Elephas maximus indicus: one gene and its partners. The protein of the gene in region 3 interacts with the protein of the main gene of each other region in a biochemical or structural test. Links are inferred from orthologs where the notes say so. Each region holds a gene or a part of one and is shown on either strand. Other genes may lie near its edges.

Evidence for each region.
Region 1: the proteins of UBE2D2 (region 3) and HECTD3 form a complex in vitro, tested with the Homo sapiens proteins (3 studies listed by BioGRID). The link is inferred for Elephas maximus indicus from reciprocal best matches to the Homo sapiens genes UBE2D2 and HECTD3.
Region 2: the proteins of UBE2D2 (region 3) and ANAPC11 form a complex in vitro, tested with the Homo sapiens proteins (11 studies listed by BioGRID). The link is inferred for Elephas maximus indicus from reciprocal best matches to the Homo sapiens genes UBE2D2 and ANAPC11.
Region 4: the proteins of UBE2D2 (region 3) and RNF38 form a complex in vitro, tested with the Homo sapiens proteins (3 studies listed by BioGRID). The link is inferred for Elephas maximus indicus from reciprocal best matches to the Homo sapiens genes UBE2D2 and RNF38.

Annotation. Positions count from the first base shown.
Region 1 is NC_064821.1:87,411,183-87,418,413, forward strand, and holds the start of HECTD3 (E3 ubiquitin-protein ligase HECTD3), read right to left. Parts: upstream 3,002-7,231; 5' UTR 2,917-3,001; coding exon 2,548-2,916; intron 2,356-2,547; coding exon 2,195-2,355; intron 1,929-2,194; coding exon 1,836-1,928; intron 1,757-1,835; coding exon 1,621-1,756; intron 1,320-1,620; coding exon 1,204-1,319; intron 1,118-1,203; coding exon 1,004-1,117; intron 850-1,003; coding exon 767-849; intron 352-766; coding exon 186-351; intron 1-185. Other genes in the region: UROD (uroporphyrinogen decarboxylase), read left to right, coding at 4,697-4,716, 5,346-5,518, 5,636-5,715, 5,792-5,854, 6,097-6,294, 6,415-6,576, 6,935-7,072. UniProt on the Homo sapiens protein: E3 ubiquitin ligases accepts ubiquitin from an E2 ubiquitin-conjugating enzyme in the form of a thioester and then directly transfers the ubiquitin to targeted substrates.
Region 2 is NC_064837.1:71,681,225-71,688,476, reverse strand, and holds the start of ANAPC11 (anaphase-promoting complex subunit 11), read right to left. Parts: upstream 3,005-7,252; 5' UTR 2,865-3,004; intron 1,895-2,864; 5' UTR 1,878-1,894; coding exon 1,769-1,877; intron 1-1,768. Other genes in the region: ALYREF (THO complex subunit 4), read left to right, coding at 3,159-3,392, 3,861-3,992, 5,409-5,556, 6,134-6,197, 6,299-6,473, 6,601-6,615. UniProt on the Homo sapiens protein: Together with the cullin protein ANAPC2, constitutes the catalytic component of the anaphase promoting complex/cyclosome (APC/C), a cell cycle-regulated E3 ubiquitin ligase that controls progression through mitosis and the G1 phase of the cell cycle.
Region 3 is NC_064820.1:152,721,961-152,729,698, reverse strand, and holds the start of UBE2D2 (ubiquitin-conjugating enzyme E2 D2), read right to left. Parts: upstream 3,017-7,738; 5' UTR 2,917-3,016; coding exon 2,893-2,916; intron 1-2,892.
Region 4 is NC_064827.1:45,364,339-45,372,151, forward strand, and holds the start of RNF38 (E3 ubiquitin-protein ligase RNF38), read right to left. Parts: upstream 3,017-7,813; 5' UTR 2,971-3,016; coding exon 2,718-2,970; intron 1-2,717. UniProt on the Homo sapiens protein: Acts as an E3 ubiquitin-protein ligase able to ubiquitinate p53/TP53 which promotes its relocalization to discrete foci associated with PML nuclear bodies. Exhibits preference for UBE2D2 as a E2 enzyme.

The DNA of each region.
Region 1 (7,231 bases), on a different chromosome or scaffold from region 3:
GGATGTAAGCTACAAAGCCCCCCTCCCCAGTACACAGGCACAGGGAGAAGGCAGGGCATAGGGGCTGCTCTGACTTTTGAAATGAAACAACTTATAGTATAAAGCCTTGGGGACCTCCTCCACACAGATGCAAAAGCCCAGGGTAGAGAAAGGGGAGGGCCTGGCAGTTCTAGGGCCACAGCCACCTCTGTAGAAGAACAGCTCTGCGGTACAGTACTTCCGGGTCAGTGCCTTCCAGGCGCGGGTATCGCACCAGACTGGTTGGCTGGAACAGGTCTGCATTCAACCCTAGTTCCCGCTGCCTAGATGACTTGATCTTGATCCCTCGAAGACGCACGTCAATCCCATCGTCTGAGAGAAGGGGTCAGAGTGCACCTGCTATCTCCTTGGCCCCCAGACCTGGGAATGGCTCCTTACTGCTCAGCCTTTTGTCACCTTTAGCTCCTAGCAACTTGAGACCTCTGAGATCTCCTTCTACTCATTGGATTGTAATTTACTCGTTCTTGATGGCTCTTCTGCCCACTGCTATAATGTTGGGATCCCTGAGGGTTCTCACTCAGTTTCTCTCCCAAGTGAACTGCTATAGCTTCAAGGAATCTCCTTTAAAGCACTTACCACCCGACTCAGGCCCCTATGCCTCAAATCTTGGAGTTACTTCAGCCATTACTTTCACCCTAATTCCAAGCCCATCTCCTTTCCATGCCCAATGCCAGCTTGTCCCATCTATATACTGGCCCTTTTCCTTCCCCACAGCCCCAAGTCCTACCTCGGCACTCAACGATGCGGATCTCGATGATTGGGAGGTGGATGGTCATGTCCTCTAGGACACAGACATCCCCTATCAGGGTCCTAAGGAGATGGGTGTGAGTCACTTCAGACACTGTCCCCTCCAGACATTCAGGGATTGCAGGGTCCCACTCAATCTTAGCTGGGTCAGGCCCCATTGCTAGGATAACCACCCTCTCCCAACCCCCTGCCCAAAATCCCAGGCCAGCTCACTCACTCGTCAATGCTCACGTCACTCAGCTTCTTCAGGTTATCCCCTTCACCCCCATAGACCACCACCCGCTTAGGCATAAAGTTGTCATCTGTGGTATCCACCGTGAGTAGCAGCCTCCTGAGGAGTCAGAGTGTGTACATGGGTCTCTGTGTACCCAAATGCTTGTGGCTCACCCATCCTGCTCTGCCCCAGAGACCACTCACTTGACGATGGTGCCCTTCTTCATGGTAAGCCGTACCCAGTGCTGGCACTGGGATCCATCACTCTCCCAATAGGTGTCTGCATTGCTGTCTGTCAGGCAGGACACATTGAACTCTTCCTGGAGGGTCGGGGGAGAGAACAGAAAGATGGAGTGAGCGGTTACTCCTACTCTTTGCACTGGGCATGTGTGCTTTGGGCCAGGGAGCAAAAGAGAAAAAGCATGGTGGAGCTGGACTAATTGGGCAAGTAGCACGGAAGGTGCCTAAGAGGTCCCTATAGGGCTTCCAAGATGGGAGCCTAAACTGGGTCTGGCCTGTGGGGGTTTGGGTCTGGCCTTGGCCTAGAGATGGGGGGTCTGAACCTAGCCTTGAGGAATATGGCTACATCTTGCCTGGGGTAGGGGGAGTCCCAGCACCCACCGTGTAGGAGGAAACGTCTATGCTCTCCACATATTGCTTCACGCTACCCAGGTTCTCATCCTCCTTGCCCAGGTGGTCATACAAGAAGTGGATCAGGTCCTCGTCGCACTCGTAGGTCCATGTTGGGGGCACATAGCTAAGCAACCCCAAGCCCCTAATTAGGTCGGGCCCAGACCTGGAGCTCCCACCTCCCCATCATAGTGCAGTTCACTCACAGCAGCCTTTGTACAGCTTCAGTGTAAGCCTCTGCCGGCTGAGGCCTCGATCCAAGGCGGTGTGAGTATGTCAGGTCCACTACTTGCTCCCATCTGTGGGCACAGGGTGGCGGGGAGGGGTGGTGTGTGTGGGATGGGGATACATCAGCAAGCAGCAGGACCCCTACATCAGGTCCTGAAGTCTCCTTCCGAACTTCTCCAGACCACGCCCCCAGGGGAACCCTTCAGGTTGCACCCCTTCTAGCTTTTAACCTAGTCTCCACTCTCTTATCCCACCTCCCAGGCCAGTGGCTGACTTGTTTCTAACTCCTCCTTGGCCGGCTATCTAACTGCAAGTCCCACCCTTTCAAGTGGAGGACCTGAGCACTGGCCGGTAGTCCACACCGAAGAGCTGCTGCTGCCGCTGGAGGTGGTCGGGGGTGTCGATGGGCACTAGGCGGGCCCCGCCTTCCGCCGGGCGGCACACCAGCAACCAGCCTTCGTCCAGCCCGCATTCGCCCAGGTGTTCTGCCAGTTGCTCCTGTCAGAAAGGGCCAGACGGAGACAGCCGTCAGGACACTCCCCACCGGTCCGCCCAGCCCAGCCCAGGGCAAAGGACACAGAACGCAGCGTCGGCTCGATATGGGGGCGGGGCGGGGCGGGGAGGGGAATAACTTGGGGGTTCCCTGGCCCCGGGGGTCTTTTGCGAGGCCCCAGGTAGGCCAGGCTGCACCTTGGTCAGCTTCACCCAGAGTCCGTAGCCGTTGCACAGCTCCTCTCCCGTGGTGCGCACGCATGCGCCGCGCCGGAGCTCGATGCTGTCGCGGGCAGCGCGGAGAGGCCCGGAGCCCGTACTGGGGGCCGGGCCGGCGGCACCCACACGCAGCCCCAGGCCCTCCGCCTCCCACACCGGCAGTAGCACGCGCGACGGTCCCGCCGGGTCCTTGTAAAGCTTGTAGAGCACCTCGCGCGGTACGAAGGCCAGCGCCTCCGGCAGTGGCCGCCCCGCGCGGAGGTTTCGCGCTGCCTCCGCCAGGAAGCGCACGCGGCCCAACAGCTGCCTGGGGGACTCCAGCGTCGCGCCCGGGCTTGGACCTGCCATGGTGAAAAGGCTAAGGGAAGCCCAGGGGCGATCCCACGCCGAGAGCAGCGGCTGCAAAAGCTGCCCGAGCTTCCCACCACGTCCGGCCCCGCCTCTGGCCAGCCGTGGCCGTATATTCTGGCTTATGCACACCCACTTTGTTTGTATTGCCCTGTGTACTCTGAGCTGACAGCCATAATACTTACCCCCGCCTTTCCCCATGTCCCCTACCCAGCCAGTCAGACCCAAGTTCAGTCATTTTTACCTGATCAACCCTCCCCTCTCCATTCCCACTGCTATACTCTGGTTCAAGCCATAATTCTCTCTAGTCCGGATTATGGTAACTGTCATTTTTCTGGTCCTCCCGCCTCCTATCTTATTTCCCCAGCCATCGTACTACCACAAGAGGAATCTTAAAAACGCACGTTAGACCATTCGCTGCTAGACATCTGGCTTCCCATCTTAGGGGTAAAAAAACCCCGTTGCCGTCGAGTGACTAAAAAGTTTGGGAGAATGACTCCCATTCCATCCCTGTCTCTAGGGAGTGTTGAATCAATCTGTCTCTATCCCGGTTGCTTCTCCTATTCCCAGAACACTGGTGGCTCAGTGGTTAAGTCTTAGCTGCTAACCTGAAAGGTCGGCGATTGCTCCACCAGCAGCTCAGCGGGAGAAAGATGTGGCAGTCTGCTTCGTAAAGATTACGGCTTTGGAAACCCTATGAGGGCAGTTCTACTCTGTTCTATAGAGTCGCTCTGAGTCGGAATAGACTCCACGGCAATGGGTTTAACGGGTTGATAATCTCTATTCAGTTTCTCCCGGATGCCTTCATGGTGGGAAGGAAGGGGCAGAGAAAGATAGGCAGAAACTGTTGGTGAAGTACAGGAGGTAAAGGAAATTTTTGTTTTGAAGTAATTTTCACATAATTAAAGTTATCGAGAAAAAAATCATGTACTTTTGACAGCTCCCCATTTTTTCCTCCTAGGAAGTTGGAAACAGTGCCTCTCGTTGCTTCCCTCCAAACTATTTGTATGCTGCCGTTTCGATGGTACCTAACAACACACTTCTTCAGGATAAAGTGACCCAGCATGACCTGGACCCTGCTGGCATCTCCAGCCTCTCCTCTACCCTCCACCAGATTAATCTCCCAGTTCCTAAAAACAATCACATTTGCCCTTTCTAATCTTCCCTTTGCATATGCTTTTCCCTCTGCTTGGAGGCCGCTCCCCCACTTTCCCCCCAATTAGTTGCTTCCAGCTCTTCCCTCTTTAAACATTTACCATTGTGATTGTGGTTTCTCTATTTTTCCATCAGTCTAGCTCTATGAAGGCAGCGACTGTCTTGTTCACCACTGTAATCTCCGCATCTAGTATAATGCCTGGCTCTTAGTAGTGAATATACATAATTTTTTGTTTTTTTAATAATAATTTCAGTGCTCTAGTTCCATCATCCGCTGTATGCCTGGCTGGACCAGACATAAGATTGTTAGAGTCATGGAGAACGGGACTGAGAATGAGACTTGGGCCGAGCCTTTGGGATTTTCAGGCCATTTTAGGAGAACAAATTGCTCATGCCACCCTAAGCGTTTGCAGCTGCGCCGCTACGGCAGACTTTACGGTGAAGAAAGGTAGGGGTCCTACCGGCAGCTGCCCAGGCAGCCCGGGAGCTGTCACTGGAGTCTGATCATGTGACTTTCAACATGGCGACGCCCTTGGCTCACTCCAGGAAGAGGCGGAGCCTGGGCAGAGGGCGGGCTCAGAGTCAAGTGAACGTGGGTACTGTGCTGACATTTAGACGGCTTACCATGGAAGCGAAACAGTTGGGGTGAGTTCTCCGCAGCACCCAGTTGGGCCAGCGGGGCTTGTGACTAGAGTATCCTAATTTATGAACCTATCCCTTGACCCCCCCCCCCCCCACCCATGGTGATCTCCCAACCCGAACCCCAGTCGCTTGGATCTTGCTCCTCCCACCATGGATTCCTGAGACCTTCATCTCAGGAATCGCTTAGCAGTGCTGCGTCCCCCAGAGCTTCATTTAGGGGATGACCCCAGGATTTTCTAATCCTCAGCTAGGATCCCTATTTTGGGATCCTCAACTATAATTCCCCCTTGACTGTAACAGCCTGAGGCGGGGGGGCGGTCTCCCAGCCTCGGAGCCAGCTACTGGGACCCCTGTCCCTGAGATTCTCAGGTCCGAAGACCCCCAAACTATCTGGGCTTTCGACCTCTCCCTCCTCAGTCCCTTCAGTTGTTTTAAGCTTGGGGGAGCTGGGACTGTGTATAGGGAAGAGACCTCAGCACGGGCCCTTCTGAAGTCTTGTGAACTACCTGATAGGCAGAAGAGACGTAATGGGCGCGGAGCTGCGGGCTTGGTAGCTTGGTAGCTGGCCTGCAGGAGGCAGATAGCGGTTCGCCTAAGAACCCGCGCCTTCTCCCGCCTTCCCCATCCCCCAGCCTACCGTCCACGCCTACCCTACTCCCTGCACCCGTATTCCAGACCCCAGGGTTTTCCAGACCCCAGGGTTTTCCGGAGCTGAAGAATGACACGTTCCTGCGAGCAGCCTGGGGGGAAGACACAGACTACACTCCTGTTTGGTGCATGCGGCAGGCAGGCCGCTACTTACCAGGTCAGGGTCAGGGCCCGGGAATCTATGTAAAAAACTGCAGAGTGAAAAGTTTCTGAGGAGCGGGAGGCCTATGGAGGTCCTCAAGGCCGAGTCCAGCCTTCTCTCTCCTGCCTGCAGAGTTTAGAGAAACCCGGGCTACCCAGGACTTTTTCAGCACCTGTCGTTCCCCTGAGACCTGCTGTGAACTGACTCTGCAGGTGAGGGGTCCACAAAGGAGGGAGGGATTTCTTTCCTCAGCTTGCCACCTAGCAACCTGTCTCCTATTCCCTACAGCCACTACGTCGCTTCGCTCTGGATGCTGCCATCATCTTCTCTGACATCCTTGTTGTACCCCAGGTACCAGCCCAAACCTGATTCTGGAATGGGTAAAAAAAAAGGGGGGAAAGGTCCCTTGGAAGTCCTTCTATCAGTCTTGTCAGGGTTCAAGATAAGCACATATCCTCACCGAAGAGAGGAGGAAAACAAAGGCTGAAAGATACGGAGTTTGGGCCTGACTTCTCTCTTCCTGGCATAGGCTGGAAAGAACCTTTCCTCCTGGAATTCCAGGTTGAGAACCCAAAAGTTTTCTCCCCCTCCAGGCACTGGGCATGGAGGTGACCATGGTGCCTGGTAAAGGACCCAGCTTCTCAGAGCCATTAAGGGAAGAACAGGACCTGGAGCACCTACGAGATCCAGCAGCAGCAGCCTCTGAGCTGGCCTATGTTTTCCAGGCCATCACCCTTACCCGACAGCGGCTGGACGGGCGTGTGCCACTGATTGGCTTTGCTGGCGCCCCGGTAATGTGGGACAGTACAGAGGCTCAGGCATGGGGAAATCACTCTGGCAGGTCTGGTGTAGATAAGGGAAGAAGAAAAGTGTCAGTCTTCCTGTGACATCCTCTTTCCATCCTTTTGCAGTGGACCCTGATGACGTACATGATTGAGGGTGGCAGCTCAAGCACTATGGCTAAGGCCAAGCGCTGGCTGTATCAGAGACCTCAAGCTAGTCACCAGCTGCTTCGCATACTCACTGATACTCTGGTACCATATCTGGTGGGACAAGTGGCTGCTGGTGCCCAGGTGAGTCCTGAGGGGGAGACAAGTAGGCTGGGATTTAATCTATAAGGACTAAGCGGGTAGAGATCTCAGTGCCAGACATGTGGGGTTTTGGCCTCCAATGATCTGGCTGGAGCAGCTAAGCCCTCCCTGACACTGGCAAGAGGGGCTTGATGCTCTCTGTGTTTGAAGACCAAAGCTAGTGCTGGGATCTGCAGGAGAAGTCAAAACTTTTTGATTAGACCTAGGCTTATAGGTTCAAGCCGTATCAGAGGTTGAGGTCATGTGGGGAAAACTGAGCCACATTTTGTGTGAGAGTCCAGGGTTACTTCCTCTTTGTATGTTGCGTATTTCTTCTCACCCCCAAAACCCCCAACTGCAGGCATTACAGCTTTTTGAGTCCCACGCTGGGCACCTTGGCCCACAGCTCTTCACCAAGTTTGCACTACCCTATATCCGTGATGTGGCCAAGAGGGTGAAGGCTGGACTTCAGGAGGCAGGCCTGGCACCTGTGCCCATGGTGAGGATGGGAATGAGTGAGTGAAGGCAGGCCTGTGTAGCTTTCTGAGCAAGTCTTGCATGCACTGAAATGACCACTGGAGGGCAGCAGAGGTGCAGCTGAGAAAGGTTAGTGGGCATGGCAAGGCCCTCTAGCCTCAGAGAGCTGCCCTTCCCCCTA
Region 2 (7,252 bases), on a different chromosome or scaffold from region 3:
AGATGGGGGACCTCATACCACCAGGGAACAAAAGCCAGAATAGCGTATCCTTTGGACCTGGGGTCCCTGCACTGAGAAGCTCCTCGGCAGGAAAAGATTGATGACAAGGACCTTCCCCCAAAACTGACAGAAACAGAAAGCCTTCCTCTGGAGCTGGCACCTTGAATTTGGACTTCTAGCCTCCTAGACCGTGAAAGAATAAATTTCTTTGTTAAAGCCATCCACTTGTACAATTTCTGGTAGAGCAGCACTAGATAATTAAGACAAGCTGTCAAACACTCTGCACATTAAAACGGGATCACTGTCGCTGAACAATGTGCCAGTCCACAGGTGGGACCCCCAGTCGCTATCCTCTACAGCAAGGAGTCCCCATTTTAACACAATCTGAGTGGATCACACAAGTGTGGTGGTGTCAAGTCCTAGGACCTGCTGATTACACACAGGCCAGGTTCCTCAGGCCGTGTGCACGTCCACCACTGCGCAGGGACGGGGGGCCACCACTAACACAGACTCAGTGACACACCAATGCCCAGCTAGCCTAGGCACAGGCACAACACGTTCGCTCAAGCTGCTTTCCAGGACTTTGCAGAAGTTAACACCTTCCTTGCTCCGGAAACTGCAAGTCCTTGCCCCTGCAGGCTTTCAGTATCTGGGGCATCCTTATGAAGGGCGATTTAAAAAGATGAAATCAAACCAAACCTCTAGAAATTCCGTTACTAAACTCATTTGCTACTCAGGTGGCATAAACAGTCAACTGCCTGCCTGCTAACTGAAAGGCTGGCAGTTCAAACCCACCCAGCAGTTTCTCGGGAGAAAGGCCTTGTGATCTGCTAGGTTGCCCTATGGGGCAGTTCTGTCACATGGGGTTGCCATGAGTCAGAATTGACTGAACCCAACAATCAACAACACAGCCTGATTAAGGACAGTCAATCAACGATCCCATCAAATCCCATCCCTCCAGCCTGATGGGATCAGGATTTGTTAATCCCAAGTGATGAGATCTCCTTCTGGCCAGGCAGACGAAGAGCTCAAGCCTGGAATAAAATCTTGTTTGTACTGAAACCCAATCTCTTGAATTTCACCGGAAGAAATCAAGTTCTAGTGAGATACTAGGCTCTTGCCTGCCCCAAAAGGACGGAACTGCTCTAGATCAAGGAGACTTAAGAGTAAACGCATCCTAATGTAATGTGGAATCCTGGTTCAAACCACTCAGCCGTACAAAACCACCTGGGGACAAACTAGAGCGATCTGAACAAGGAGGAGGTACCGGGCGGCACTAAGGGATTACTGCTGTGTTGTCAGAAGTGACCAAAGTGCTGTCTCTGGAGAAGAAGTTGGCGAGTCAGGTTTCAAGATGTGGCTGAAGTGTGTGACGTGAGAGATCAAAATGTTTATGACTTACCTTAAAATACTTCAGCAAAAAAGTGAAACAAAAGTGGTAAAATACCATTACCTGTCAACACCATGTGCTACATGGGTATGTGTGTGCTGATACCACTCTAGTCTGTTTGAAAACGATCAAATAAAAAGTTTTAACACCTGTTTTTGATCTGTGTGTTTTACAGCTGAGTCTGATTACATCACAAGGCTGCATGCTTTTTCCTTCAAAACCGTGGGTTGGATTATACAAACATGGGCCCAAACTGCCTGGCTTTTTAGATGTCAGCTCTTCTTCAGGGACGGGATATTAACACCCAGAGATTGCATGCAGGTATTTACTAGGAAAGGCCAGCAGACAGAGCTCATGACAGAGCAGGGGTGTACTCACAGTCTGGGCAGCAGCCGTTGAAGGCCATCCGGCAGATGCCACAGTTCTCATCATTGGCCACCCAGAGCCAAGTGGCCACACCATTCCAGCACTTGATCTTCACCTTCATGGCCTGGAGCCTTCAGGCTAGGGGGAAGAGGATTACCTTGTTAAATTTAGTATGCAGAGCTGGAACATTTGGGCACCAAAGAAGGAATATTTGCCCTATCCAAGAGGGTCAGCACTGCTGTGAGTGGCTTGGCAAATGGGGTGCAGCTCCACTCAGAGGGCAGGAAAAGGTGCACAGAGGTGGTACTCCGCTGTCAAGAAACATCTACTAGGAATCCCTTTTAGAATCAAAGGAGAAAGCTGGAGACCCATCTCCAAGGAAGAAGACTCAGCACCCGAGGAGCCTCAGATCCTGCTTAGGACAGCGTGAGTCTGTCCAGCGTTCCATTCTGCCAACCACATTTAGAACGCCTTCACGGACCTCGAGTTATACCTTGAAGCTCATAAAAGGGTCTGCTGGTTCCCACTAGAGAACTGTAAAACTATGCCAAACAATACTCTTTAAAATGACGCGATTAGCAAACAATGAGAGCCACCAGCTTAGGCATTACAGATGGAGGCCAAAATTCCAGTTCGGTGTGAGTTTTCACCTCCAGAAATCCTCCCCCACCACTCCAAAAAAAAAATCAAGCGTCTACTCCGGGCCTCCACCCGCCTCGGGGCTGAGCCCGAGGTGAATCCAGTACCTGACGACAGAACCAGATGACAAAGTGCCCAGACATGAATCGTCAGGAAGGGTGGACGGGGAGGTGGGAAATGCAGGTAACGACCCAGTCACCGCCCAAGGAAGCTCGGCGTTCCCGCTGCCAAGTCAGGCCTCAGCTCCCCGGCCACGTCGGGAACCCACCTCGGCCGCCCTCCAGTCCGGCCTCCCGAGCCCATTCGCCTCAGAAGCCCCCCAAACCCGAGCCCAGCCGCCCCAGTGCCCCCCCTCCCCCCAAGCCCAGGCTTCCGCAGCGCGACCCGAGGCCGGCAAAGGGCGGGGCTGCGTGGGAAAGGGCGCCCCGCCCAGGCCCCGCCCCCAACGGCTGCCGTCCAACCCGCGCACCTTCTACGACCTAATCGGCGCGGCCCCGCCCGCCCGTCCGTTGGCAGCGCCGGCGTCCGCGCGGGAAGGTCTAAAAACGACCGCGGCCGCTGCCTGCCACTTCTCGAGCAGCGCCCGCGGAGCTTTGCGCGCCAGTGCGCCTGCGTCGCCCTGCCCCGTGAGCTCAGCCACCCGCCCGCAGCCAATCAGCAGCCGCTCCGAGGCCGCGGCTCCAGAAGGCCCCGCGCGACGAAGGAAGTGACGCTACGGCGTGCTGACGCGCGGGCTCGAGCCGAGGCCGATTCTGCGCCCGCCATGGCCGACAAAATGGACATGTCTCTGGACGACATCATCAAACTGAACCGGAGCCAGCGCGGCGGCCGCGGCGGGGGCCGGGGCCGCGGCAGGGCCGGCTCCCAGGGCGGCCGCGGCGGCGGAGCGCAGGGCGCCGCGCGAGTGAACCGAGGCGGCGGGCCCATCAGGAACCGAGCGGCCATTGCCCGCGGCGCAGCCGGCGGCGGCAGGAACCGGCCGGCGCCGTACAGCCGGGTGAGTAGGGGGCAGCCGGACAGCCAGCCTCCGGGGACGCGGCGGGAGTGAGCCGGGCGGGAGCGGCTCGCGGCTTGGCCGGGCCCGGGGGCGGAGAGGGGTCGAAGGAGCGGTCGGACCCGGGTGCCGGCGCCCGCGAGGTGTGGGCGGGGGCGAGGGCGCGCCACCCGGGCAGATACCGGAGACAGAGACCTTCTCTGGTCGTTTGTCTTATTCGGGCCCCGGGGCCTCGTAACGGCCAGGAGCCGAGGGTGCGCTGGGTGCGACGGCGGCGGGAAGTTAGTTGAAGGAACTGAGAAGTTGTGTGGCCGCGTCGGGACCATGGGGCCTGCGGCTGGGACGACGGCAGCCCCCGGAGCTGGGGCCCCCGAGACCCGGAGGAGAGAGGGTCTGTGGTAGTCGCGAGCGAGGCCTGGAGTGCGATTGACGGGCCTATTTCTGTTTTTGTGGGTTTTTCGTCCCCTTCAGCCGAAACAATTGCCAGACAAATGGCAACACGACCTTTTCGACAGCGGCTTTGGGGGCGGTGCTGGCGTGGAGACCGGTGGGAAACTGCTGGTGTCAAATCTGGATTTTGGAGTGTCGGATGCTGATATTCAGGTAAGGAACGTGAGATTCTCGTTGAGCAGAGTTGCACAGTTTGAAATGTGGCCCCGAATTCCCTTCCCACCTTAGAAAAGTGAGCCCTCCCAGCTAACCACGGGATCGCCTTGTGCCCGTGTTAGCGGCCACTTTGTAGCTTGAACATAGTGTCAAGCAGTGATTGTGTTGAAGTTGACAGTTCCACGAGTAGGCCCGTCTGTGCTTGCAGATAGGACTGTGTCAGTCTGAGGAGCTACTTCTGAGCACTGAAACGCACTCTGTGAGCCTTATGAGCCCCTGCTAGAGCTTCCAACTTGTAGCAGGGAAAGGATTGGTTAAAATGTGAATGGGTCTCAGGTATCAGTGACAGACCCCGCTGCTTGCTCTAATTTTGTGCTGATTTTGATGATGATGATTTGGGATTTAGAAAATTTGTTGCTAAAACGAATGAAGTGTAGCGGGAGGATCTTCCTTCAGTGTTTTTCCTGTCATGTTTGCCTGAGTCCTGTCCTATTGTATAGCTTTTTGTAAACCTGGTCTCACTTGTCAGCACTCGCCACGTCTCATCTGTGGCATGATTCTCAAACCGTGTTTGGTCAAAGCCCGTGGCTTTTTTTTTTTTTTTTTTTTAATTGAATCCCAAATATGTTTAAATTGGTTTTTTGGTTAAGGAGTAAGTTCTGGGTTTAGTTTTACAGATGTCTAGGTCAGGGTGTTGGGCCTTTCTGGGTTCAATTTCCCAGAGTCTAGCCGTGTGACTTTGCCATGGAAGGACAGAGCAAGGCTGGTGAGCACTCACAGTGTCTCAACACTTTTTTTAAGGTGGTTTCTGGCATCCACTGGAAACCGCTTTTGGTGAACTCCACTTCCCGCTGTGTGCCTGCGGCCGGAGTAGCCCCACTCTCTGGGTTCCCTCTCCAACTCCCAGCCTGCCTGAGGTCAGGGCAGTTACCATGGCAGCGCTTGACTTCAGCCTTTGCGGCAGGCTTGAGTAGGAGGAGAGGGAAAGGTGAGCCAGAACCTGCCTGGGGGAGGGCTGGGGTCAGGGCTCCTCCGTCAGTGCCCTCCAGGCTGCTCCACTGTGTGGACAGCTTCCCTTGCTCTGTGATCATGGCCTTTGCTGTTGATTGGACGTCTCCTTGGTCTGAGATAATCGTGACTTAATTTTGTGTCCTTCATAGTGGACTTTGCAACTTCCTTCACCTGCCTCATGAAATCGATGTCCACTCCCAACGCCGACAGGGGCCCTCAGACCCACCTGCTGTAGGAAGTTGCTGTCTGCCAGCCCCCTCCCCCCCCCGCCCCAGTTCCCATCCCCGCTACCTTGTCTTGCATATGTTTGTCTCCCAGGGAAACACCCCAGAGCAGATCACACTTGCAGGAACTGTATTTGGGACACAGCTTTTCTGTTAATTTGTTTTTCCTGATTTCCAGGAACTCTTTGCTGAATTTGGAACTTTAAAGAAGGCTGCAGTGCACTATGACCGGTCTGGCCGGAGTTTAGGAACCGCTGACGTGCACTTTGAGCGGAAGGCGGATGCCCTGAAAGCGATGAAACAGTACAATGGCGTGCCATTGGACGGTGAGTATCAGCCTGGACCAGGATGAGAGGGGCCAGATCCTACGTTGTGGCACTGGGGCTGGTACCTGTCATATAGAAATGTGGCTCCCTCCCCGTGGCTGAGCACACTTTGCATTTGCCCCTTTGTCTCTCTCTTCCATTCTGCCACCTCTCATGCTGCCCCACACATCGGGACCAACCTCTTGTGAACCCCCATCCAGCAAGCTACATCCCTCCCCTCCTTCAGCTCCTTCCGGAAGATTCACTTCTGTGAAGCCTTCTCAGAACTGCCATAGTACACCTCTGAGTGCGGGGCTGTAGTCGTAAAGACAAAGGTACCGGTCCTTCTTCTGTGAGGTCACCCACACCTCTCTACCCACCAGAACCCCAGACAGGTTACCAGACAGCCCACCTGCCTAGACAGGAAAAGAAGGATGAGGTGTGGTGGGGTTGTTTTTGTTTCTCCACCAGTGTTTTCATGCTTGTGTCCTTGTTGGCAGCATTTGAGGCACAGAGAGACCCTTTCCAGTCTTTGCATGGACCCCAGGGTATGGTGGCATCTGGACTGGAATGTGATGTCTTGTGTTCTTTCCCACAGGTCGCCCCATGAACATCCAGCTGGTCACATCACAGATTGACACACAACGGAGACCTACACAGAGGTGAGTCTGGGGCCGCTAGGTGGTGAGGTGGCCTGTGATGTGTGGGAACATTGTTCTTGAGGGATTATGAGGATGTGAACAAGTTCTTTTCTTTCTGCCAGTATAAACAGAGGGGGCATGACTAGAAACCGTGGCTCTGGAGCTTTCGGTGGCGGTGGCGCCCGGAGAGGCACCCGTGGGGGCAGCCGGGGACGAGGCAGAGGAACTGGCAGGAGTTCAAAGCAGCAGCTTTCAGCAGAGGAGTTGGACGCCCAGTTGGATGCTTATAACGCCAGGGTAAGTCCTGGGGTGAGGGTCCAGAAGCAGGCAGCCATCTGGGGCACAGACCTGGACTGGGGCAACCCAGAGAGTGGCAGGAAGCAGGAGCCTCTGAATGAGAATGTTTCCTTTCTCTCTGTTTCAGATGGACACCAGCTAAACAGACCCATGGATCTGTGCACGGAATAGGACCCAGACGTCTCTCGCCCGTGCTCCCTGGCGGGTGGGAGGGTGCGGGCCTTGAACTGGGTAGCCAATGGTGGATTTGTTTCTTTTGTGTTTTAAAATAGGATTTAAAAACTCATGTAAAGGTTTTTTTCCTTTTTTTTTTTTTTTTAAATTCTGAAGCAGCCATGTTTTGTACTGATTTATTTTTGGGATAAACTTTACTGGTTGTTGTTGTGGGGAAGGTGGTGTTCTCACCTTTGCCATAATAAAATAGAACTGTGTGTAGAACTAGACCTGACTCATTCGTCCCACTGTTGGAGGCTTGGCCTGGCCTGGGCAGGGCCCCAGTGTCTGAAAGGTGGCAGGTGCGGGGGCTGCAAAGAGTAATCCTGGGGGGCATTTTTGAGCTACAGGGAGCCTGGCTGCTCTTTTTCTGTCCCTGCCAATCCTAATCCTTCCTCTCTTACTTGATAGGTGGGAAGACATTGAACGGGGGTGGCCTTTGCCTGGAGCTGCTGGTTCACCCTGTCACACTGTGGAGGTGAGGGCCCCAGGAGGGAGGGGCACCTGTGCTGTTCGCAGAGGTTTTTCCACGTCCTGTAGTTCTCAGAGAAACCTCGTCGTCCAAC
Region 3 (7,738 bases):
ACTCTAAGAGCACCGAAGAGCCTCCTGCACCTGTGTAAAAAAAAGTAAAACAGGAAGCAAGTCAAAAAGGCCTCTGATTAGTAACACAGTTCACAGAACACTTGAAGCCTCTTCACTCAGAGCACACAAGATCTTATTTTAAACATAATTTTAATAAACTCGGTGATCTGGTTTCCCAACCCACAACAGACTAGATGCAGCCAACTGGAAAACTGCTGGGGGTGGTGCTGCTAGAAGCAGGCACTCAGAATCAAAGCTGAAAACCTACAAATGCGGCAGAAAACCTCAAAGCTCCGCAGGCTGGGCCATTGGTATTTTGGTATAAAAAATACAAATAATTCCAGAGGATATCCCCAATCCTGCCCAGAACTACACTGGGTGTTCACAATGACCCCCTTTTGATACATTCATAGGTCAGGAGATTTTAAAAAGCATTTCAAAATAAAGTCCACCAAAAGCTTTTTCCAAAAAAGACACGGCATTTAAAGGACTGCCAAATTCATAGAACACTATTTTCCTCTGTCAAAGAAACAATATAATGAATTCCTAAAGATGCCAGAATGTGAAGTGTGTTTTTCTCAATAAAATTTTATTAGAACCCAGACGCAGCACTTCATGATATCTAAAGTTGGGAGTGTATTTAAATAGAAACATTTATTTAGAGAATGATAATTAAGAAGGTTCAAGGCCAAGATTAATTATTTAAGCCAAGAAAGGCTTTTGGGAATTCCAGTGTAGATAAATTACTGGGGCTGAGAATAAGATAGACCTGATCTTATCCATACCTAATAAGTAAGCCATTCGATTTAAAATTGGTGCCATACAAAAAGTTTGGGGGGGGGGAATTTCTTTTGTTTTCATAATCTTATTGACTGGTATACCAAAAATAAACTTTTTTTTCTAATCACTGGCAGCCTCAGAAATCAAGCCATACTTTAATTATACAATGGGGGGGGGATTTAATATTGCATTTTAAAAGTTCAAGTTATCATCTAAACTTGATTTTCCTCATTAAAAATTTTATAAGGGTATGTTTTAGAGAAGATCTATTCTGGAAAATATGAAGTAATTAATAACAAGCCATATTATTGGGCACAAGTTTTATTAGAAGATTAAAATATATGTTTTGAGTCAAAGTGTTATTTCCCTCTCGGAAAAATATACACCAATAACCTCAATAACACATATCAGTCACTGTAGAGATTAACAGCTAGATTTCTTGATCCATAAATTATCATACATTTTATTCACTCTCTCCTCTTCAGGTTGTAAAAGAGCACAATCTTCTACAGGTATAAACCAAGTGCCATCTCAAACTGATAACTTCCCGGTTAGACTCTGTAAGATACTAACTCCTAAAGCCTTCAAAATACGTATTTCACTTTGACAGCCATTCCTCAGTGTGCTCCTGTCCCTTAAATGATTCTTTCAGACATCTGCTTAAGATTCAAACTTCTTTTAACAAACACCCTGCCTCATTTTAGCACAAGATTTACTCTGTCTGAAGACTGCCCTTTTTCATTTGTTAGAAATCAAAGAAGTCAAAAGAATTTGGTAAGGATCTAACCTAATTTACAGTAACAACTGAGATTAATTCCACATTACATTCAAGGTCTCTGATCAGGAATTAAACAAGGGTTGAGGTGTTTAACACATCCAACTATCTACATCTTGACGGTTTAAGGCAAAGTTCTCTTCCTCTGGCATCCATATCCCATGGTTCAAGATGAATAATCTCAGTATCTATTTCTTACCAAGTAGCTAAAGGTTCAATACTGCCTTTCTGAATAGCCATGTGAATCACACACACACAAAAAAAAACACGCCAGGGGTGCCTCCCCACTGCTAAGGAAAAAAAACAATAGTGTCTGGCACTAAAAGGTTACAATATTAGAGGGGAAAGAAAAAACGAAATTTTAACCTAACCCCCACTCTAGATGGTAGTATTGGGAAAACCTCCTTAACAGTAACTGAATGAATAACCCTCAACTTTTTAAAAAAAGCAAAGAAATTCTACTAGAAAACTTAGCAAAACCCCTTCTAAATTAAAAAGTTCTCTCTAAACATATCTCCTAATTTAAGCATTAAAGCCCATCTGGTGAAAGGACTGTGTGATAAGAACCTTTGTGTAATTTCTCCAATAGTCTTCAATGTTCAGGTTTTTACCTCTACTCTTGCCAATTTAGTAGCTTTTCTATTAGATCCATTCTTGAAAAACTTAAGTGCTAGTTTCTGACTACATATGGCAACCCCAATGTAATAAAACCCTTTCCCGCTACTCTTCCTCCCTTAGAAGAGACACATTTTTTCCCTTCTGAACTTCCTACTCTAACAATTTGTCGACGAGCAGTGTAGACCTAAGTCTGAAGCCGCCCAAGAGGTAGTGAACTGAAAACACGCTTGCGGACAGGGCTAAACTGATTCCTCCCATCTCTCCGAGATATGGGCCCCGAGCTCAGGCGGTTTTGTGAAGGGAGCTAGGGCAGGTACGGGGGGCAGAGATGGGGTGAGGAGCCCTTCCGATCTCTGTCGATGGGACCGCCCAACGCCCCAGCCCCCCACCTCGGCCTGGACGGACAATGGCTCTCAAGCCCAGCAGCCCCAGGCCGAGAGGCCCTGGAGCTCCATGCCACGCGGGGCCTGGAACGGCGACCGATGAGGAATGCTGAGAGGGAGAGCGCATCTCCGGCCTAAACGCGGGCTGCGCGCCGGGGCCTCCTCAGGCGCCATCACTGGGAGTAGGGTGTGAAGGCCGCCCGGCAGGGCCATCCCCAGCAGCCAGGGCCGAAGAGGCCGTGAGCCGGCGGAGAAGACGGCTGGAAGTGCAGGCCGCAGCCTGCTCAGCCAGCCTGACCAGCGGCCCGTCGCCACAGCCGAGCTCCGGTCGCTCACCTTGTGGATTCTCTTCAGAGCCATCGTGGGAGGCGGGTGGCGGCGGCCCCCGGGGCGGGGACGGGGGCGGGGACGGGGACGGGGAAGGGGCGAGGGGATGCGAGGCCGCCTAGGCGATCGCGGGTCGGCCGCAGAAGACCGGGAGTTCGGCAGCGCGGGCCCGGCCGCACGGGCTGAGGGCCGAGGCCCACTCGGCTCCTGAGCCTGCCGCAGCGGTCACCGCATCACCCGGCGGCGGCTCCTTTATGCGCTGCCGCTCGAGCCGCCGCCGCCGCCGCAGCTGCCTCTTCCTCTTAGGCTCAGCGCCGCCTCTCAGCCGCCACGGATCCCTCCGCCGGAGAGCAAGAGCCCAAGCCTCGGGTTTGGCAGGCGCCTCTCTGCCGGACAACCGGAGAGAACGCCTGCCTTCCTGCCTGCTGCAGGTGGACGGAGGGACGCGCGGGCAGGCGGGCGGCGCCGCCGGGGTGGGGCCGCCAGAGCACGGGGTGGGCCCAGGCCAAGGGATAGATCGGGAGGCTCAGGGATTGGAGGACCAGGGCAGAGAGGGCCGGGCCGCGCCGACGGCGGAGGGATACGGGTCGCCCTTGTAAGAATCTTGCGCGCCGTCGCCGACGCCGCCACGGCCGTCGAGAGGATGACGCCACGAAGCGCAGGGAGGGGATCTCGCGATAGTTGAGGCGTGGATGCTGGTTACTCCCGCGTCGCGACCCTCGAGTCTCTTGTGTCTGGTTGCCCGCCCGCGTGTCATCGAGGTTCAATAAACTTTTAAAGGCGAATTTTTCCAGATCGCTTGACCGTCCTCGTAGTAGTTCCGGGAGAAGGCATTTAGGCCCATTGCAATATTCCTGGTAGAGGAAGAGACTTGTCCAAGGTCACATAACTCCTCAGCGGAGGATCTCTTCAGATCCCTATACGGAAGCCGAGTGGTACCCGCCTGGGCTTCTGCCGGGGATGAGGTTCCTTGTGCATGCCATGGGCAGCGCAGGGATTGGCCATTCCGACCAAGGCCCCAGCTGGAGAGGGCTTGAATGTTGCTCTCTCCTCAGGCACTGGCATGTCAGCCATAGGAAAGGTACCCAGAGCTGGCCTGCGTGTTGAATTGTATAAACAAACACTATACAAATTACCTCAAAAAACATGCACCGTGTGTGTGCTCCAGTAGTTAAAACCAACCTTGTGCTTCAGATGTCCATCAAAAGTGCCCACTGATAAACAAGCCTAGAAAATCGATTGTGGAGTTGCTTTTTACGAGGTGGAGCCAAAAAGCTAATTCACTCAGCCCCTCCTACTCTGTGCCTAGCTCTACACAAGAACCAGAGTTAGAAACAAGCCAGGTCGCGCCTGAGAGGTGCTCATCTGGCTGAAGACATGGGAGGATGGTAAGGAATACAGTAATTTCCTGTGATGCCCATATTCTCAAATCCGCACCGGAGTTTCCTGATTCTAAGTCTATGTTCTTTCCTCCACATCTGGAAAAGACCTTGAAGCTCCTTCATTGATTCTAATACCTGAATTTAGAGAGGAGAAAACCGGATCCCAGCTTAGCGAAGGACCTTGCCAAAAATCACACAGTATGTCAGTGGCAAAGCTCACACTGCCTCACCTGCTGAGTAGAAAAGCTTGGACAGCTAGGGCAAGGCCACCGTGGACCCAATGAGTGAAAGAAGGGAAAATCTGTATCCAGTCGTCCCGGGTAGACGAGTTTAGTCGCTCGAGTTTGGGGGCGAAGTGAGACATTCCACAGCCCCAGATCTTTTATACCTGAGAAATGTGGTGCCCAGTGGTCATATTTAAATTATTTTCAATGCTAACTTTTCTTGTATTAGAAAAGTAATATATATTTGTTGCAAGAAATACAGATGAGCAAAAGGAAGAATATAAAAATCACCCATACACTCACTGTTAAAATATTAACCACTTTTGCCATATTGGTATATGTCCTTCAGTCTTTTTTCCTTATGTATTGTCTTGGTTTCCTAGTGCTGCTATAAGAAAAATACCACAAGTGGGTTGCTTTAAAGAACAGAAATTTATTTTCTCACAGTTTAGGAAACTGGAAGTCTGAATTCAGGGCGCCGGCTAGAGGGGAATGCTCTCACTCTGGGCTCTGGGGGGAGAGCCTTGTCTCGGTTTCTTTAGCCCAGGCATTCCTCCATTCCTTCTCAATCTTCACTTCACCCTGGCGTCCATCTTTCCCCAATTGTGTTTGCTTGTCCTTGTGTCTGTGTTGTTCCTTATAGCTCAGAGCTGGTTATGTTTAGGACACACCCTACACTGATATGGCCCATAAACAAAGAAAACCCTATTCCCAAATAGGATTACATCCACAGGTATAAAGGTTAGGATTCCAACACATGCTTTAGGGGGACACAATAGAATCCATAACATGTATAAAAATACGTTTTTTTTTGAAAAGTGGGATTGTACCATAATACTATTTTGCAATCTGTTTTTAAAATAGATGATATATCATGAATTTTCCCATGTCAATAAACATTTTTTACCATATTTTAATGGCTATGGGGTTGCCATGAGTCAGAATTGACTCAAGTGCAACCAATAACAACAATGTATTCTGTCGTAAATGTACCGTAATTTAACTAGTCACATTTTTTGACATTTAATTTGTTTCCACTTTTTGCTACTAAAAATGATGTTGTGATGAATATTCTGTAGCTAAATCTTTGTACAGTTTTAAGTGCTACTTTAGGAAGTGAAATTGCTGGGTCTAAGAGTATAGAGATTTTTTCACCTATATTCACGAGGGATACTGGTCTATAATTTTCCTGTAATATCTTTATCAAGTTTTGGTATCAGGGTTATGTTGGCCTCATAAAATGAATTTGGAAGGGTTCTGTCCTTCTTTATGTTCTGAAACAGTTTGTGTAGGGTTGCTATTTTTTCTTCCTTAAGTAAATGATTGGTAAAATTCACCAATAAAGCCACCTGGCCCTGGAGTTTTCTTTGGGAAAGATTTTAATAACAAACTTAATTTATTTAATGGGTGTGAGGCTGTTTAGATTTTCTTTTTTTTCTCATGTCAATCGAGAATTGGTGTTTTTCAAGGAATTTGTCCATTTTATTTGTTCTCTATTAGAATAACATTACTCATAATATCCTCTTGTTTTTTTTCCTTTTCCTATCAGTAACATCTGTAATGATGTCCTTTTTTGTATTCCTGATGGTGTGTAATTTATGTTTTCTCTATATTTTTTCTTGATAAATCTTGCTAGGGATTTATCAGTTTTAATAATTTTTTCAAAGAGCCAAACTTTAACTTATTATTTTCTCTATTTGTCCATTTTCTATTGAATTGATTATTGCTCTTATTTTTATTATTTTCTTACACTTACTTTGGGTTTAATTTGTTCTTTTTAAATATTTTATTGTATTTTTGGTGAAAGTATACACAGCAAAACATGCTTCCACTCAACAATTTCTACACATATTGTTCAGTGATATTGGCTACATTCTTCTTCAGTTGTGTCAACATTCTCATTATTTGCATTCTAGTTGTTCCATTCCCGTTAACTTAGTCTCACTGCTTCCCAACCTTCTCAGAGTAACTGTTGACCTTTTGGTCTCATATAGATAATTTTTAAAAGAGCACAGTATGCAAGGGAGACTTTGTTTACTTTTTGAGCTAACCCGCTATTTCGTTAAAAGGTGACTCCAGGGAATAGTTTTGGTTCAAGGTCTAAGAGTATCTTAGGGCAGTAGCCTCAAGGATTCCTCCAGTCTCAATGAGTCCAGTAAGTCTAGATTTTTTGAGAATTTTGAAGTTCTGTTCCACAGTTTCCTCCCTTTCTATCAGGATCCATCTATTGTGATCAGAACATTTGGTAGTGGTAGCCAGGTCCCATCTAGTTCTTCTGGTCTCAAAGTAGAAAAGGCCATGGTTCAGGGAAGACAAATTAGTCCTGTAGGACTGGCTCCTTCTCTGATTCTTGTGTTTCCTTCTTTTTCTTTTGCTCCACATGAATAGAGAGCAATAATTGTATGTTAGATGGCTGCTCATAAGCTTTTAAGACCCCAGACACTACTCACCAAACTAGGATGTAGAACATAAACTTTATGAACTATATTATGGTAATTGACCAAATTGTCTTGCAAGACTATGACCCTAAGTCTTCAAACCAAGAAAACTAATCCTGTGAGGTAATTGGTTACGTCTATGAAGTATCTACATTTGTAGCCTTTATTTGTCTATATATATATTTGGTTGTTGTTGTTGCAAAATTATGTATAACATTTACCAATATATCCTTTTTCTTGTGTATAATAGTATCAGTTACATTAGTCAATCTGTATACTTCACCCGCATTCAGTACTGTCTTTCCCATCACAATAAAGAAAAACTGACTGCTATCTAGAGAGTGATTCCCCCTCTTCAGCATCCCCTACCCTTTGTAACTACCAATGAACATTGTACCAATGAACATTGGTCTCTGTATATGTACCTATACTTGTCATTTCATAAAAGTAAGATCATACAATATTTGTCCTTTTGTGATTGACTTAGTTGGCTGAGCATAATGTCCTCCAGGCTCATCCACATTGCAAGATGTTTTAGGAACTAATTTGTTCTTTTTCTAGCTTCTTAAAATAGGAACTTGGATCACTGATTTTACATTTTTCCTTTTTTTCTAACATAAGCACTTAAAGTTACAAATTTCCCTCTAAATGCTACTTTTGCTGCATCTCATAAATTCTGATATGTTGTGTTTTCATTTTCATGCAGTTAAAAGTATTTTCTAATTTATTCTTTGAACAAGGGTTACTACAAATACTTCAGAATTTATTAATCATTTCGTTGTTGTTAGGTGCTGTTGAATCAGTTCTGACT
Region 4 (7,813 bases), on a different chromosome or scaffold from region 3:
TGTATATTCTCACCACAACTAAAAAAAAAAAAAGTCATCCATAGCAAACTAGGCTTAGCAGGTCAGAAAGGGTGAGAAAAGGATCACTAGTCTGCGTGCCTGCCAGGCTGTGTTGGGCTGGGGCCTGTAGCTGTAGTTTCATTATTATGAGACAAAAACCCTGTGCTCTATAAAAAAGAAATTTTTTTTTATGTGAGATATATTTAAAACATTAAAAAAAAAATTAGAATAACATAAGGAATATCTCTGTACCTGACATTAGCAAATCTTACTTGCAATTACTGTATCTGACTCAGATTTTTTAAGTAATAGATTATTACAGGTATGATGGAAGCCCTCAGTGTACCCCTGTCCAATCCATTTCTCCCCATCTCTTCCCAGAGATAATCACTACTCTGTATTTGGTGTTAGTTGTTTTTATGCATGTTTTTATACTATTACTGCACATGTATATAGCCACAAACAATACTATTTTGCACGTTTTCACACTTTATACAAACGGAAACATTTTTTATGAATTCTCCCGGGACTTGCTTCCCCCTCCCCATATCATGTTTTGTTTGTGAGATTCATACATTTTGATGCTTGCAGCTATAAGCCATAGTTTGTTCATTTTTTCACAATGCTATAACATTTAATTGTGTGACTATCTTACAATTTATGTATCCATTGCCCTGTTGGTGGACATCTAAGCATCAATGAACTTTCTTCTACTTATTTTCTTGGATGAGTGTGCAAAGATTTCTTAGGGTATATACTCAAAAACAGGGAGGGAAGGATGAATATGTTTACCCACCTTCAACTAGACATCACTACGCTACTCTCCAAAGCCGTTGTCTCAATTTACATCCCCAGCAACGGTATATAAAAGTTTATTTTCCCATGACCTTACTAACACGGGGTTATCACAGCATTTAATTTCTGTCAATCTGATGGTTATGAAATGGTATCTCACTGTTGTTCCAATTTGCATTTCCTTGATTATAAGTCCTTGGCAAGTACATTTTCTTTCATGTGTGTTGTGTGTGCACAAGAGAGAAATGTTTCTTACAGTTTTTTAGAAAAATCTAACCCATTTTGTCTGTAACAGGGCAGATCTTCCCAAAGCATTGGGCCAGCAGTCACCACAGCTGGAAAGCTGAGGTGCAAGAGGGCAGCAAGAAAACACCTGATTTAAACAATGAATTATCTTGGACAAAGGGCCCTAATTAATGCATTTGCTAATTAGTCTTTCCCTTCCCTCTTTTGTCAAGCTTTACTTCCAAGACAATACTAGACACTTTGGGCCTATAGTCTCAAAACAGGAGAGAATGAAGAGGAGGGGTGTTAAAGCCAGAACGTTTCTATAAAAGTATGACAACTGCCCTTACTCAAATTGAAGTGACTTCACACCAATCCAGATTACTCAACTTGTAAGACACATCCACCTTTAACAGACTCCTTTCAAAGGCATCACAACGGCTGGCTCCCTCCTTCACTGAAACATCCCAATCTTTTTCTCTAGACTAGACATTGTCCCCTCCCTTCAGCACTCCTTTCATCTCCCTCCCCCCACAATGACTGAATACCCTCTCCTTTTTCCACATTCTACAGTTTGTATCTTCCAGCCCCACACAACCGTCTTCATTGCCTATTACACGTTGCTCTAGAACTGTAAGTCCTCTGCTCCTTCCCCTTCCAAAATGCATCCACAGTAAAAAGCCACCTAATCACCCACCCCAAATAGAAACGGAAATCCCATGCATTACATGCCAAGCAGGCGGGTGACTTGCCCCAATCCTCCTAGCTAGCTTCCTTCCCCTTCACGCCTGGGAAAACTGTTCTTTCTCTGGGGGTTCTATAAGTGTGGTAGGTCCAGACCACCTGGAAAAGCCTCATACGGGCTTCTGTGACATAAATGCCTTTAGGAGAGCCATGTGTACTTTTGGCATGGACAAAATTCGGGCCATTATGTGAAAAGGACACATTACTGGCCTCTCCACAAAAGCAGGCAGGCCTCTCTCCCATTAATTCCAGAGGAATTGGTTTAGTCCGCGCGGCGGTGGGGAAGGCGGGCCTGGCGGAGACCAAACGGTCTCCACGACAAGAAGTTTCCGAAGCTCTGCCCCACTCACTCAAGCTCTCCCTCTCCACGAAAGCACACCCCTTTCCGGGGTCTCTCCCTCTGCAGCTCTCCAACTCGGCTCCCCAAGGCACCACCAAGCTCCCCAAACGGCCCCCGGCTCCTCCCTCCCACCCCGCAATCCCAAAAAGGCTTGGGTGGGTGTGCCTGGGACCAGGCAGGGCCTAGCTCCCCTTCTTCCCGGATCAATCTCTCTCGGTTCTCGGAGCCTGGGGGATCTGCATCCTCCCAGACTCCTCTGCTTGGGATGGCCCTGGGTCTCAGCCAGGCTCCAACTCTCACCGTCTAGTGACCTTGGGCAAGTCACTTCCCCCTCTAAGCCTCAGTTTCCTCCTCCGCCTAGCGGAGACCTAGAGAAGTCCTGCCCTGCCCACCCTGGGGGAGGGGGCTGCCCAGAGGGTGGTAAGCGCTTTGTGAGCCGCCGGCCGCGGCAGAGACGCAGGGCTCACGGGGGCTCCGGGGCCGGACAAAGCTGACCTGGACAACGCTCCACCCCCTCCGCGGGGCTGGGCGCCGGGACCACACGCCCGCGGGTTCCCCACCCCGGAGGCCAGCCCACGCCCCTCCCCGCCTGGCCCGCTCCCGGACCCCGTACCTGCTCCCGGCGCTCGGCCGCAGGCGCCGCCACCCTGGGCGGCCGCCCGAAGAGGCCCGTGTCCCGGAGGGCTGAGGCGGCCGGCAGCGGCGGGCTCGAGTCGAGGCGGCGGCGGTGGGGGGCGCGGGCGGCGCGGGGGCCCGAGCTCGGCGGGGCCCGGCCTGGGAGACGACGACTGGGGCTGGAAGTGCGCGGCGGCGGCAGCTGCTGAGGCGGCGGCGGCGGCGACCGCGGCGGCAGCGCTTCCGCTCATGGCGGGGCCGCGGGCAGCGGCTCCGGCTGCGACTCGACTCCGGCGCGGCGGGCGCTGGCTGGGCCCCGGCCGGTGGCGGCAGCGACGGCGACGGAGGCGGCTCCCGGAGGGGGAGGAGGCGGAGCCGGGAAGCGGCGGCGGCGGCGGAGGGGGCGGGGACGCGAAGGGGGCGGGGACTCCGCGCCGCAGCCGCCAATGGGTGGCGGGCTCCTCAGCCGCGGCTGCCGGGCTGGGCGGGCGGCGCCGTGGGGCATCCTCGGCTGCGGCCGCTCGCCCAGGCAGGGAGAACGCGGGCGGGCCGCCCGCGGGGAGAGCCTGGCTCCAGGGCCGCCCCGCCCCCGGCCCGCCCCTGGGGCGCGGCGAGGGCCTCCCGGGCCAGGCCTCGCGCGGCGCAGGCCAGGGCTCTGCCTGGGACTCCGCTGCGCGGCCGCCTCCGGCGCCGGTGTTTGCACCCGCGACTTTACCGTGGGCCCTTCCCGGGTGCCTCCTGCTCGCCGGCACGCCCGCCCGCCCGCCCGCCTGCCTATCTCCCTTTCCATCGGTTTTGCTGCCTCGTCCTCCCTGCTTCTCTCCCCACTCTATGGCCGCAACCTTCTCTCCCTCTCTTGGCTGTTTCCTCAAAGTTTTTCCCTTTTAGCTACTTATGAAAGAAACTCTTGCCTTCCCTTCACAGGCCGTGTTTCAGTGACAAATCAGTCCTCGCGCATCCGGAGAGGCAGAAACGAGAGAGAGCTACTGCCTTGAGTCCTAAAGACCCATAATGAACGGGGACCAGCTCGGCCTGTCTCCCCTTTTCCTGGTTTTTCGTTTTTCTTTCCCACTTGTAAATACGCTTGTTATAAGACTTACAGGAAACCATACAACCCAGCTGGGCCTAATCTCAGAAGAGGGCGAGGCTGTGAAATGAGGAAAGGCTTTTGAGCTGTGCTGACAGTTTTCCTATGAGGGAAGAATTCTGCGGATTGATGAACCCGTGACCACTCTCCTCTCCTTGGATGTGATGTTGATCACCGAAACCACTTCCTTTCCTCATTTTTCTCTGATTCTCATATAAAAGCAGCAGAGGATCAAAATAAACGCAGGCAATTGCTATGGCTGCCTGTAAGTACAGACATGTCGGTTGGGGTGCAGCTAGGTAGACTATTTCGATAAACTGCTGTCCTCAGCCTTTCCCCACATGCAGCCACCAACTGGGGACTGAGTACATCTTTCATGCACACGCACACAAGTTGAGAAGGCACAGTGCTGGGCCCTATGAAATAGATGCATAGGTGAATCTTTGAAAACAGACATTTCAAATCCCACCCAGCCACTTACTAACATGATGGTTCATTAACAGTCATCAGCAATGCTAAACAGTGGGGGGACGAAGACAAAGATATAGTTCAGGACTTCACAGCGTTTACAGTCTCCTTAGAGGACACTGATACATTCCTAAAACCCATTGCCACCAAGTCTACTCCGACTCAAAGCAACCCCATACAACAGAGTAGAATTGCCCTATAGGGTTTCCAGGAGTGGCTGGTGGATTTGAACTGCCGACCTGGTTGAGTGGCCTGAGCTCTTAACTAGTTAAGAACTAAAGGATGAGCAGCAGGTTGGGGAAAAGTGGATTGGGAAGACATTAAGATCATATTAAGACCAAAGGACTCAGGATTTCCTGGATATTTGGTTTGGGCAACCAGCTGATGGTGGTGCCATTCCTGAAGAGAGGGATCACAAGGGAAGGAGCAAAGAACTATGACCCTGGTTAAGTTGGTTTCTTTCTGGGCCCTCACTCTCCTCCACAGAAGGCAGGAAGTCAGAATCACCAATATACAATTGCTAATGTCCTTCAAAAACTGAGTTCCAAAGATCTGCAAAGGAAAAATAAGATAGCCAAATTGCCCATTTCATTTTTAAGCTCAGTATAATGTCTGCTACTTGTATTTATCTCCTATTTTGGCTGGCACATTTGGGGGAGTAGGGGAGGAGAATATAAGAAAATACTGAAAGAGCTATTTCATGAAAAACTGTCAGACAGTGATTAACTTCTAATGGTATGTAAACTCAAAAGGGCAGCAAGACAGCTACATCGCAGGATAACACTGTGCAGCCTTAGCAACTGAACGACTCCAGTGCATCACCAGTGGAAAGGCCAAAGCACCTGTCATACAAAGTGAAACCCAATGAAAATAACTGCCTAAAGAAGGCAGTGAAAATAGCAACACCAAATGGGAGGACTGGAGCAGGAGAGAATGAACTAATCCACCAATACCATATAACCATACTTGTTCACAAGCACGTTGTCAACACGTGAGACATCTCTGAGGTTTTCCTGAAACACGGATGCATGTTGCAGGATGTGGGTGAGGGTCAAAGAACACTTGACCATTTCTCTCACTATTAAAGTACTAATAAAGGGCTGACTTTGACTACACAAAGCTGTTTGACTGTGTGGGTCATAACAAATTATGGATGACACTGCGAAGAATGGGAATGCCAGAACACCTAATTGTGCTCTTGAGGAACCTGCACATAGACCAGGAGGCAGTCACTCCAACAGAACAAGGGGATATTGTGTGGTTTAAAGTCAGGAAAGGTGTGCATCAGGGTTGTATCCTTTCACCATACCTATTCAATCTGTATGCTAAACAAATAATCAGGATTGGAGAAAGACACATTAACAACCTGCCTTATGCAAACGACACACCTCCTGGCTGAAAGTGAGGAGGACTTCAAGCAGTTACTGATGAAGATCAAAGACTGCAGCCTTCAGTATGGATTACACCTCAACATAAAGGAAACAAAAATCATCACAACTGGACCAATAAGCAACATCATGAAAAATGAGGAAAAGATTGAAGTTGTTAAGGATTTCATTTTACTGGGATCCACAATCAACAGCCATAGAAGCAGCAGTCAAGAAATCAAAAGACGCGTTGCACTGGGTAAATCTGCTGCAAAGGACCTCCTCAAAGTGTTGTAGAACAAAGATGTCACCTTGAAGACTAAGGTGCATCTGACCCAAGCCATGGTATTTTCAATCGCCTCATATGCATGCAAAAGCTAGAAAATGTATAAGAAAGACTGGAGAAGAATTGATGCATTTTAATTATGGTGTTGGCAAGAATATTGAATATACCATGGACTGCCAGAAAAACAAACAAATCTGTCTTGGAAGAAGTACAGCCAGGATGCTCCTTAGAAACAAGAATGGTAAGACTTCATCTCGTGTAGCTTTGTACATTATCGGGAGGGACCAGTCTCTGGAGAAGGGCATCATGCCTGGTAAAGTGGAGAGTCATCAAAAAAGAGGAAGAACTTCAAAGAGATGGATTGACACAGTGGCTGTGAAAATAGACTCACGTATAGCAAAGATTGTGAGGGTGGCACAGGACCGGGCAGTGTTTTGTTCTGTCGTACATGGGGTCACTATAAATCAGAACTGACCTGATGGCACCTAACAACAACAACAAAGTTCTGATACATGCCACATCATGGATCAACCTTGAAAACATTATATTGAGTGAAGGAAGTCAATCACAAAAAGAGAAATATTGTAAGATCTCACTCTTATGAAATATCTAGAATAGGCAAATATATACAGATCAAAGTTTATTAGTGGTTACCAGGGGTGGGAGGGAAACCTTGGTGGCACAGTAGTTAAGAGTTATAGCTGCTAACCAAAAGGTTGACAGTTTGAATCCACCAGGGGCTCCTTGGAAACTCTATGGGGCAGTTGTATTCTGTCCTATAGGGCCGCTATGAATCAGAATTGACTCTACAGCAAGAGGTAGGGGCTGGAGGGAGGGAGAAATGGGGAGTAATTGTTTAAGAAGCATTGAGTTTCTCTTCATGGTGATAGAAAATTTGGCAGTGAATATTGGTGATGATTGCACAACACGATTAACATAATTGATGTCACTAAATAGTACACAAGAAAAATGTTAAATTAGCAAATGTTGTGGTACATATATATGTACATATGTTATATATATATAACGATAATCATATAAAATAATCTGGTCTGTTACTAACTGCTGTATGGTACTCCATCCAACACGTTTTGCCTAAGGACTTCTTGTAGTTAAGAACACTCAGATTGCCTCCAACTGCCCACAACCAAAACCAAAGGTGCCATAAATACCTTCATACAGGACCCTTATGAGAATTTCTTTGGGTTATATATTCAGTAATAGAATTGGATATTTTATAGTTGTTTTTCTTTTATATAGTTTTCATTTTTTTATTTCATATATATGTAGTTGTTCTTAGATGCCATTGAGTCAGTTCCGACTCATACTGACCCTACGTACAACAGAATGAAACACTGCCCAGTCCAGCGCCATCCTCACAATCATTGTTATGCCTAAACCCATTGTTGCACCACTGTGTCAATCCATCTCATTGAGGGTCTTCCTCTTTTTCACTGACCCTCTACTAAGCGTAATGTCCTTCTCCAGGGACTGATCCCTCCTGACAACATGTCCAAAGTATGTGAGACATAGTCTCGCCATCCTTGCTTCTAAGGAGCATCCTGGTTGTACTTCTTCCAAGACAGATTTGTTCATTTTTTGGCAGTGCATGGTATATTCAATATTCTTCGCCAATACCACAATCCAAAGGCGTCAATTCTTCTTTACTCTTCCTTATTCATTGCCCAGCTTTTACGCACATATGACACGATTGAAAACACCATGGCTTGGGTCAAGTGCACCTCAGTCTTCAAGGTGATATCTTTGCTTTTCAACACTTTAAAGAGGTCTTTTGCAGCCGATTTGCCCAATGCAATGCGTCTTTTGATTTCTTGACTGCTGCTTCCATAGGTGTTGATTGTGGATCCAAGTAAAACGAAATCCTT